2 linked regions of the Neodiprion lecontei genome follow. The protein of the gene in region 1 interacts with the protein of each later gene in a pairwise test. Links are inferred from orthologs where the notes say so. Each region holds a gene or a part of one and is shown on either strand. Other genes may lie near its edges.

What was found.
Region 2: the proteins of pre-mRNA-splicing factor syf1 homolog (region 1) and peptidyl-prolyl cis-trans isomerase E interact in a two-hybrid assay, tested with the Caenorhabditis elegans proteins (2 studies listed by BioGRID). The link is inferred for Neodiprion lecontei from reciprocal best matches to the Caenorhabditis elegans genes syf-1 and cyn-13.

Annotation. Positions count from the first base shown.
Region 1 is NC_060264.1:23,215,713-23,222,247, reverse strand, and holds pre-mRNA-splicing factor syf1 homolog, read right to left. Parts: upstream 4,854-6,535; 5' UTR 4,712-4,853; intron 4,697-4,711; exon of another isoform or gene 4,624-4,696; 5' UTR 4,560-4,623; coding exon 4,518-4,559; intron 4,438-4,517; coding exon 4,289-4,437; intron 4,233-4,288; coding exon 3,911-4,232; intron 3,828-3,910; coding exon 3,528-3,827; intron 3,453-3,527; coding exon 3,305-3,452; intron 3,233-3,304; coding exon 3,081-3,232; intron 3,010-3,080; coding exon 2,789-3,009; intron 2,707-2,788; coding exon 2,544-2,706; intron 2,460-2,543; coding exon 2,346-2,459; intron 2,257-2,345; coding exon 2,094-2,256; intron 1,997-2,093; coding exon 1,887-1,996; intron 1,814-1,886; coding exon 1,610-1,813; intron 1,520-1,609; coding exon 1,285-1,519; intron 1,206-1,284; coding exon 1,050-1,205; intron 965-1,049; coding exon 885-964; 3' UTR 716-884; downstream 1-715. Other genes in the region: adenylate kinase isoenzyme 1, read left to right, coding at 6,192-6,380.
Region 2 is NC_060262.1:20,669,898-20,674,244, reverse strand, and holds peptidyl-prolyl cis-trans isomerase E, read left to right. Parts: upstream 1-1,957; coding exon 1,958-2,183; intron 2,184-2,456; coding exon 2,457-2,626; intron 2,627-2,712; coding exon 2,713-3,075; intron 3,076-3,188; coding exon 3,189-3,506; 3' UTR 3,507-3,571; downstream 3,572-4,347. Other genes in the region: 3-sulfolactaldehyde dehydrogenase, read right to left, coding at 207-1,727; dehydrogenase/reductase SDR family member 4, read right to left, coding at 3,856-4,026, 4,167-4,301.

The sequences.
Region 1 (6,535 bases):
GTGCTAGTAGGAGGTGGCAGGGGGTGGTAGGAGGTGTTTGAAGGTGGCAGGCGGGGTTAGGCGGAGGTTGGAGAGGGCAGGAAGTGTTTGGCGGTAACTGGAGGTGATCGGCGGTCGACGAGGAAGACGTGGGTCGGGGGGTTGGGCGAGTACGAGCAGGAAGAGGGGGGGGGGGGGGGGGAGGACGAAGGTGGGTGGAGGTGGTTGACGGCGGTTGGAGGTGCTCGGTGGTATTTGGGGTGGTTGACGGTGGATGCGGTGGTCGTCGGAGGCGGTTGGCGGTGGACGCGGTTACGCGTCTCCTCACGGGGATCATCGAGCTGATGAACATTTCTAAGTCGCAGTCAACAGTCTTACGTACTCACTTTGTGCCGACTCAATCTCAAGCTTCCATACCGACACTACTTTAGTTGCTAGGAATGTCGGCGAGAGCCCGTTAGATAGAGTCGATAGAGCAAAACCCTTCTACGGTCCCAGGCCCACCCGGGCTCACTTGGCCGCCAAAAACTGGTCACAAAAATTTACCTAGGGGTAACAGTCTTTATATTCTTCAACGTAGTGGAATACAATCGATTTAAATTTTAGGATCCAAACCACTCAGGCAGTCCATTAGGGTGTTGAACGTAACTTGATCTGTAGGATTTCATTTTGATATTTTATTACGCATAAGTTTTTCCAAAATGCAAGGTTGATACAGAAACGGTAAGGCGGACAATACAGGCGCGAATCAGAATTTTATTTTCAATTCTCCACGTGCAAGGCAATGCTCGGAGCCAAACAGATGAACGACATGTACAATAGTTTACTTGTTTTTTTTTCCACTTCGAATCAAACCATAGTGGTGAATGCTCGTATGACAACAAATATGTCGTATTGAAAAATCTTTAGTCGTCCTCGTCCTCTTTGGTGGCCTTGAGGCTTCCAAAAACTTTCGATGGAATGGCTTGTTTCTCTACCGGTACATCTAGAAAAACGAGACACCATCAAACTGGGGATATTCGTGTAAGAGGAGTTTCGTTCCTAGTGAACAAGAAGATGTAATACTATACCCTCTTCAATTTCTTTCTCCTCATCTTCACTGTCGTCGTCCATGTCAATGTCTATTTCATCTGGATTGTTCACTTGACGTTCGGACTTTCCAGCTCCTTCAGTTACTCCTCGTACAAATTTGATATTATCTTTGAATCCGGGTTGCGCAGCAGCATCTGGAAGGAGGAACGATAATTAGACATGAGTCATTTTACAAATTTTTCTTTAGGTTCGTACACTTAACCAGAAACTGACCTGTACTGGTTGAGGGTATCTTGTTGTCCAAAAGTCGCATAGCGTCACCGGTGCCAGCACTGTCATCGATAGAGAGATTTGTCGCACTGTTAAGCATCTGTGCTGACATCATGTTTACTTGGGTGTTGTACATTGCTTGCACGCTTCTCTTGATTCGCAGCATTTCCCGCATCGTGTCCTCATTGCCGTGGCGGACTTCAAACTCTTTCCAAACTTGCCAGAAATTAGACGTTACCTAAGGAACAAGAACCACTGTGTTACTTATTTGCTGCTCGTACAGAGCATTGAGAAAGATAACTAAAATAAAGTTAAGCAATTCGCTAACCCGGGGATCGCATATTTGACTGCAGTGAGCGTAAATCGCCCTCGCTCGATCGACTTCACCGAGCTTAGTTTCCATCTCTGCAAACCGGAGACACATCTCCCGCGTATTTTCTTCATTCAGAACTTCGATCGCCTTTTCATAGATCTGCCGCGTCTTCGGCACTCCGTATATATCAGCGGCTTTCTTTATGTATATGTTGAACATCTAAAAGGAATGAAAAATTGAAAAAACTACGCCCAACAAACTTTTACCTATTCTTTCGAACACCGTTACCCACCTCAAATCTTTCTTCTGGTAAAACAGCGCTAGTCGCTCGCTCGTATACGGACATCGCGTGCCTTGCTAAGCCATGTTCCTCTTCCAGTTTCGCGTACAGCAAATAAAGAGCTTGATAAACAAAAAGAATTTAAATGTCGTTTAAAATCAAGACGGACAGGCTTTAGGTAAAATTTGGTATACCTATTCAATTTTAGAACAAACTTACCCTTCGCATACTTTGGTGGGCAATGTTCCAAGCATTGTTCAAACAGATCGCGAGTTCTTTCCAATTTCGTTCCCTCGTATCTTTTCAGGAATTTGGTGAGGTACGTGTTCCATATGTCATATACATTTGGCCACTTAAACAGAGCAATACCCTTTTCGTAGGCCTGAAAGAAAAAAGCGTAAACGTCGAATATTCCGCGATATGTAGATACAAGGTGTATTGCTACATGCTGAGAGAAAAAGAAATATCCACCCTGAAGGCTTCCTCGAAATAGTTATTCTCCTCCAAAAATAGACCATAGTTTATGATGATCTGCGGCGTCGCAATTTTGAGATCTATGATCTTGTCATACACAGCCTTGCACGTCTGAAAGACGAAAATTCATCTGTAATCAGCAACTCAATGTTGACCAGTTTTATTGACAATCAATAGATATATTACATGGTGTACCTTGAATGTACCAAAGCTCTCCTCGAGATCAGCGTACATGGACCAGACTTTAAGTGACTTGTACAATCTCATTTGAACGGTCTCAGTCTCGTCGTGATACGCAACTTTGCGTGAGGGCATGGTGGTTGCCTTGTGCATAAGCTTCAAGGCCTCTTTGCAATTGCTAATTACAAGAAAATGGAACACCATAATTACAGTAAATTCCTAAAATGGAATTGCAACTATTTGTAATGATCAATACTTACTCGTGCCTGATCTCCATTTCGGCCCACTCGCACCAAACGGAAGCAAGATCATCAACCTTCGTGTATGCGACGTGCGTCGCTTTATCGAAAACAACTCTGGCATCTGCGATCTGTCCATTCTCTTCATAGAATTTGGCAAACGCAACCCACAGTGTGTGCAACTTGCCAACTGCCTGTTGTGGCAACACCGTTTGAACAGCCTCTGTATACGTGTTGATTATCTGAGAAATTTCATCTGTTAGTGACTTGATCAACCAAGCAGAGATGTTGACGTTTCTTCGACTTTGGTTACCTCATGAGGTTGCCCCTCATAGAGCATGACTCGTTTGTGCCATTCTTGAACGTTGTGCGGATTTTGCCTAAGCAGCACACTGTTCAGCAACAACAGTCTTCTCTCCATGAGGTGTTCAAATCTTGCTAATCGAAGTTCGAGTTCAATGTCATCTATAAAATCATAGAAATTGTAGACAATAGATAATCTCACTTGGGTCAATGAGCCAAGTATTTAAGACTTACCTTCTTCGGTTGGATTGGGATTTTTGGCAGCATCCTCCATCCTCTTGCTGAGGCTGAGTTCCTCAAACTGGGCATACGCATCAAACACTTGGGTAAAGTCCCTGACAGTGGAAACTGTCTGGATTGCTTCTTCGTAGATATCTCTGGCCTATGGAAAAAACAACCTTTTGGTCCAAGTACAAAGATCTCGTTCACTGTTTTGCGAATTGTAAAAGATACTTACGCGCTCAAAAAGGCCACTACGAACGTAATAATCAGCCAATGAATTCCACAGTGGACCCAACTGATCAGTATATCGCCTCAATCCACCTCTGATTATTGCATCAACGTTCAAGGATTTTATTTTGGTAGGATTCTTTGATATAAGGTCGCAGAGCTCGTTCCACAGCTGGTGGTTCGATTTACCATGCTTTGACACAAAGTCGTCCTGGTTTACGATTTGGGCTAATTTGACCGCAGCTTCGTCCAGTCTTCCCGTCGATATCAAATACTCTATGTATTCCTCTGCATCTTCTGGAGCTAACTGCAACCATGTGACTTAATCCGTGTAGTATTTGAGTACCATTTCATGTTAGTATGAAAATAAATCGATCGGGGAGTACTCACCTTCAGATATCTCCTGAAGACGCGTACAGCTGTTTCATATACATTGTGTTTCTTGAGGAAGCCAATGTAAAGTGGCCAGACACGATGATGCTGCGTGATGGGAAGAGCCCGAAGCGAGCGATCGAATACCTGACGGGTCCTCGTGATGTAACACTGATCGGTCATCAGGGTGCAATAGTCCATCCAGATTCGAGGCATTTTGTGCATGAATACAAGTGCTCGTTCAAAAGCATTGTTTACATCCTCGTAGAGCGGGTCTGTCACGCAGCGTCCCTTCAGCTGTTTTACCCTCTGACGCAAGTAGTTATACCATAACTTGTAGCTATAAAATATTTTCATTTAGTGATCGTTCAAAGTATAGAGCAACTCTTTGCTCACCTTCCCGGCAGCTCCTTCAAGGCTCGTTCATAGACAATATTGAGGTTAACGCTCTTCGTGCTCTTCAAGTGATCAATGTAGCGTTGCCAGTGCTTAACAGAGTAAGGATTCCGCAGGATTTCCTCCTCGTAAGGCAGATCCTCCTCATTCTGCGAGAGATAACGAAGGTTGCTGATTTGTTTTTTGAGGTTAGGTTTAGTTACCGAAAATATTTAAAGGTTATACTCACGAAGATGTAACTATTCCCATCAGAATCCTCTCGCTGCATCATCTCTGCTCAAGTAATGACTAGACCCGGCTTTTATTCTCTTCAAATTAATAACAATGCGACATAACTGTAACACGTATAGCGTTGTATAGCACGACCTAACTTAGCAAGTAATACCGCGTCAAACAACCCGAAACTACCAAAATGATACAGACGCAGACGGAGCAGACGGGGAATCGTTGAGTTGTTTCCGAATCTATTGTGACCGTAAAGACACCAGAGGACGGCAGTCCTATCGTCGAATGTCAACCGTAGGAATTGGGATTGAACAGTTTCACCTTCCAAATTATATCTCGCTTGCAATGAAAGCAGCGAAAACCAACCTTCCGTGCTGTTTGTAAAATAATTCTAGTAGTAGAGGTAAACAAACACACTTTGAATACTTTCTCTTCCGTTTTATCATGGAATTACCAGCTACATCGTCTCTGCAATTAGATGCGGATTATACACGTACACTTCTACATGCACCCGACTATCGATTCCTCTCAGCTCCTCTTAAATTCATTTTTATATATTATTTTAAGACTTTAATTCGTCCATCACCAATAATTCACGCATTACTTAGTAAAAATGGCAATTAAACAAGTACAGACAGCAATTATGGAGTCAAAATGCGTCACCTTTGGTATTTTGATCGCTTAATTATTATACTCTTGCTGTAATATGCGTGTATACTTTACATGAACCATGCCTACTGTGAGGATGACTCATACAGTATAAACAAGGGTGCGTATTTCAAACTTATAGAATATGGATAAAAGCTGCTTTCCTCTTCTGCAAGCCTCTTTATCGTATATCGAAGAAAACTGATGCATTCTGGCATTATGACACCAGTTTGCAAGAACGAATAGGTATAATAGAACAGCGAAGAGATGTTAAAAGCTCGTCAAAACCTTGAACGCGCGTCTATAACGCACTTATTTATAAACGCAGCTTTGCGTAACGCGCGCGCTGTATGATATTGTCTAGCGCGGGAGGGCAATAATTATATGTATATCCGCGTGTAAGAACTTGCACAATTATTTAAACCACGATCTCGCCACCGCTGCCGCCGACATACGTTTATTCTGGTGGAGCATCCTTCCGCTGCTGCTGTTCATCTCGTTTTTTCTCGTCGCCGACTATCGGGACAAGGCTTCTAATCTGCTGATCGCGAACACGAAGATCAACCACGCTCAGGTAAGGTGCAACAATCGAGGTACGTCGGTTAGTTGCGTTCGAATTTGCACCTGCGTAACGCGAGGTCTCGCGCCGATTTGGGCACAGAATGATAATCATCAGCTTGTAAGCCGGAATAATCATGCCTCGCAACGGTGCTCTGTAATTTTTAATGTAATTGCTCGAACACAATTTGTTCAGTTACATAACTTGACCGGCCTCGGGATTTTTCAATAAATTAAGAACACGCGTGCGATCGTCGAACGTATAAATTCATGCGAAAGCGAATCATCTAACAGCCGGAATTGGACGGATGCCAGTAGATCGTATAATTCAAAAATAAAATTCTCCTAGCTGTGCGAGTTATCAGCTCTACTCTTATACCGCTCGTGGTTCAGAAACCCACGACTACTGACCCAGCTGTTGGTTTTTTAGGCGCCGAACCAGGAATCACACGTTAGCAAAAAATCGAGAAGGATGACTGTTACACTGTGGGTCGTCGGCGGTCCCGGATGCGGGAAGGGCACCCAGTGCGAGAAAATCGTTGCAAAGTACGGCTTCCTTCATCTCAGCAGCGGTGATCTTCTTCGGGACGAAGTCGCCAGTGGCAGTCCAAGGGGCGCCCAACTCCAAGAGCTCATGTCCCAAGGCCTCTTTGTACCATCCGTAAGTTGCGGGACATTTGGCCCGAATTCCTAAAGAGTTCTCTTTCGTCTTCTCGTCTGTCTTCGGACAACATCAAATCAAATTAGCGCGTTCTAGTTGCAATATGAAACGTTGCATATGAAGTCAAAAATATGTCTTTAAAAAAAAGGTATTCA
Region 2 (4,347 bases), on another chromosome or scaffold:
AAGAATAAAATCATCGAAAGCTTGCCTTCCAAAGACTGACATTTTTTCTTGTTCTTTTTTTTCTGTCTTTCTTGAAAGCTCTAGCCCTGAGATCGATCTTTTTTGTAGATATTGCAAATTGACATCGAATTAAGTATGTGAATGTGTCGCGTTCTCATAGTGTCTGGACTCATTGAGGAATGCTCACAAGGTGCTTAAGATAACTTTCATGACTGATAGGCAACGTTTCCTATGCAGACGTACTTTACATCTACAAAGTCGTCGATCCCATGGTGAGAACCCTCTCTTCCCAGTCCAGATTCCTTGATGCCACCAAATGCAGCTTCTGTACACGAAATAAGCCCTTCGTTTACCCCAACCATGCCTACTTCCAGTTTCCTTGCGACTCTGAAAACCTGTGATATATCCTTGGAGTAAAAATACCCTGCAAGACCGACAGGTGTATTATTTGCCTCCCTAAGAACTTCTTCCTCGCTTGAAAATTTGTTTATAACAGCGACAGGGCCAAAAATTTCTTTGTTGTAAATTTGCATTCCTTTGGTGACACGCGTAAGGACAGTTGGGCCATAGAAAAGAGGGCCTAATTCAGGTAAAGGCTTGCCTCCACAGTGGAGCTTCGCTCCTTTTGTAAGGGCATCATTGACCAGGTCAGAGACCATCTTGAGTTGTGACTCTTTGATCAGTGGGCCATTGGTAATCCCTTCTCGACTTCCATCGCCCATCTTGATATCAGAGTTAATTTTAGAAACAAATTTATCGACAAATTCAGTATGCACATTCTCATGAACAAAGAACCTGTTAGCAGAAACGCAAGTCTGTCCTGTGTTGCGAAATTTGCTGGCCATTGCACCAGCAACAGCGAGGTCAATGTCAGCTGATTCAAAGACAACGAATGGAGCGTTTCCCCCGAGCTCAAGACTTAGCCGTTTAATTGTCGATGCGCACTGTCTGTAGAGGATCTTCCCGACAGCTGTTGAGCCTGTGAAAGACATCACCCTGACCCTCGCATCCTCGCACAAGAGCTTCCCAACAGCCGCAGAGTTCTTGGGACTGGTTGTGACAACGTTGAAGACGCCAGCTGGAAACCCAGCCTGTTCTGCCAGATTAGCGAGCGCCAGAGCGGTCAGCGGAGTCTCTTCAGAAGGCTTAACGACACAAGTACAACCAACAGCCAATGCTGCTCCAGCCTTTCGGGTGATCATAGCATGCGGAAAGTTCCACGGAGTGATGAGAGCCGCAACACCAACAGGCTGCTTGAGCAATAGGACCTCTCTACCGCGCACTGGCGATTGGATCACCTCACCATTGACGCGACGTGCTTCCTCAGCAAACCACTCTACGAACGAATTACCGTACTTTACCTCGCCCCGCGACTCCGCGAGGGACTTGCCGCTCTCCATGGTCATTATCTGCGCCAGGTCCTCCGCATGCTTCACCATCAGGTTATACCACCCGCGCAGCAAGTCGCTCCGTTCCTTCGCCGTCGTGTTGCTGAACTCCCCCACGGTGAAGGCTCGCTGCGCTGTATCCACAGCAAGCTTCACGTCCGACTCGCTCATGTCCGGGACTCTGCCGACTACCGAACCGTCGAAGGGATTCAGCACCTCAAATGTCTCGCCGCTACCGGCATTTCGCCATTCGCCGCCAACGTAGGCTTGGTTTCGCAGCATGCTCAGTGCACGCCTGCAACAATGTTGCCACTGACTGTATCGCATTAGGGAAAACATGTTTAACTGTTACCCGGTTATCGGATTATTATGATGAGACAGATTCGTCGGGTTACGTAATCCCTCTAAAAACGCTATGAACCCCAAACGATCGACCGGGTTCGAATCTCGAATTTCGAAGCACTGACGCTTATAACTGCATAAAAGAGGACAGCCTTGCTCGTACTAATAAGCCGCCAGCATGATTCTACCGAGTCTACTCTCGGAACTCGACACCAGTTCGGATTGATATGGTCTTACTGGAATCGAATTTTAATGATCGCTTTGCATGGCGACGGCTTGTAATTGCGCGACAAGCAGTGCGACTTGTTGACAACACTCAGTGCGTCTTACCGGCGTCAGACAATGTTTACGAACGAATTTTATTAACACGTTGTTGTTTGACTTTTATCTGCAGACGACAGATTGATCTCGATTGTAAAATGAGTAACAACGCGAAGAGGACTATATATGTCGGTATGATTCGCCTTGTATTTTTATAATCACTGGATTGAATGAAACTAACCTCAATTATTCTCGCTCGATTTCTGTATTTTCTCGAAGGTACTAATTATCTTGTCTGTTTCTATTTTTCCACTACCCGAGTTATTTTTTTCTTCGGTTAATCATTCACTTGATGTTCAAATATCATATAATTGAGGAAATAAAGATATGAATTTATAATAGGTTAGGTTAATAGTGTAAGTTGTTTTTCCTCAATGTTCCTGCGACCAATGTAATTGTACGTAGGTGGGTTGGCTGAGGAAGTAGACGAAAAGGTGCTTCACGCCGCGTTTATACCATTCGGAGAAATCGTCGATGTTCAAATACCACTAGATTACGAATCTGAGAAGCACCGAGGATTTGCATTCATAGAGTTTGAAATTGCTGAGGATGCTGCCTCAGCAATTGACAATATGGTACAAAAAGACTAATAAACGATATAATCAGAGGCAGTGAGAGACAAATTAATAAATTTATTATTCTTGTGTTTTTCATTCACTAGAATGACTCTGAGCTTTTTGGCAGAACCATAAGAGTAAACATAGCCAAACCGCAAAAGATAAAGGAGGGTTCATCTAAGCCAGTTTGGGCAGATGATACTTGGCTCCAGGAACATGCTGGAGAGACACTAGAAACTGATGACTCTACGGCAAAAGTTGATAGCGGACCTCCAGCAAAAAAAGGAAAGCAAAATCCTCAGGTCTACTTTGATGTCAGTATAGGAAAACAGGAGCTGGGCAGAATCATCATGATGCTTAGAGCTGATATTGTTCCCAAAACTGCAGAAAATTTTCGTTGCCTCTGCACACATGAAAAAGGATATGGATATCAGGGCAGCACTTTCCACAGAATCATTCCAGATTTCGTATCCTTGACTTTGAGTGTCGGTTGAAACACCCCATATTTTTTTTCAAGCCAGACACCAATCAAAAGAAAAAACAAAAGGTTTTTTCCTAAACTAATATTTTTATAAAACAGATGTGCCAAGGTGGAGATTTCACAAACCATAATGGAACTGGAGGGAAGTCTATATATGGAAATAAATTTGACGACGAGAACTTTGAGCTCAAACATACGGGTCCTGGGACCTTGTCAATGGCAAATTCAGGCCCTAATACAAACGGTTCTCAATTTTTTATGTGCACGGCACGTACGGACTGGCTTGATGGAAAGCATGTCGTATTTGGTCACGTTCTTAGTGGATTAGATGTATTAAAAAAAATGGAAAAATGTGGAACCAAAGGAGGTACCCCTACTCAAAAAGTGGTCATCACAGCTTGTGGCGAGCTGACATAATTAACTGATAAAAAAATGTTATTTTATTATAGCTTTCTAATAAACTCTATAATACATTGTATAAATTCAAAGAGTATCCCAATTTTTTAGCCGATAAAATAGCGATGATAATGAGCACTCTCATCAATACATAATATATAATGCATAATATGAAGCCAAGCATACAAAGAAAGAATCCTTGTTAACTTTGATAATTCGGGGAAAAGCATGTAACAAATGTATTTTTGTAAATGTTATCATTATTTTTTTCTAAAATTGTTTCTGAAAAATTACCTGTGAATAATATGGACTCTGGGGTGTTGAGTCAGACAATGCAAAATTTATATTGTTGATATTTGATGTAGACTTCTCAGAGTCTTGATAACATGCCACCAGCTCCGACGATAGTTTCACCAGTAATGTAAGATGCGTCCTCACTCGCTAAGAAAGCTGCGATTCCTGCTATTTCGTCTGTAGTTCCTAATCTTTGCAGAGGGATTTTTGACATGGCCAAGTCATGTGCTGCCTCGGATTCATAGAGCTATAAATTTTGACCATAAATTTATACATTGTTCACGAGATGTACAAATTTTCACCGGATAACTAATTCACCTTTAGACAATATTTAATCAACAATTGAATTGGTTTCACTGATTGCATATTTATATTGTTGATACATACCGGTGTTGAAAATTTTGTTTTTATTATGCCAGGAGCAATACAGTTGACCCGTATTGATTCCGATGCAAGATCATCAGCTACTGTTTTACACAATGCTAGTAAACTCGTCTTGGTAATTGAGTAGACTCCCAGTAGCTGAAATAAAATGATAAAGATGAAACACGAATAATCATTACCAATT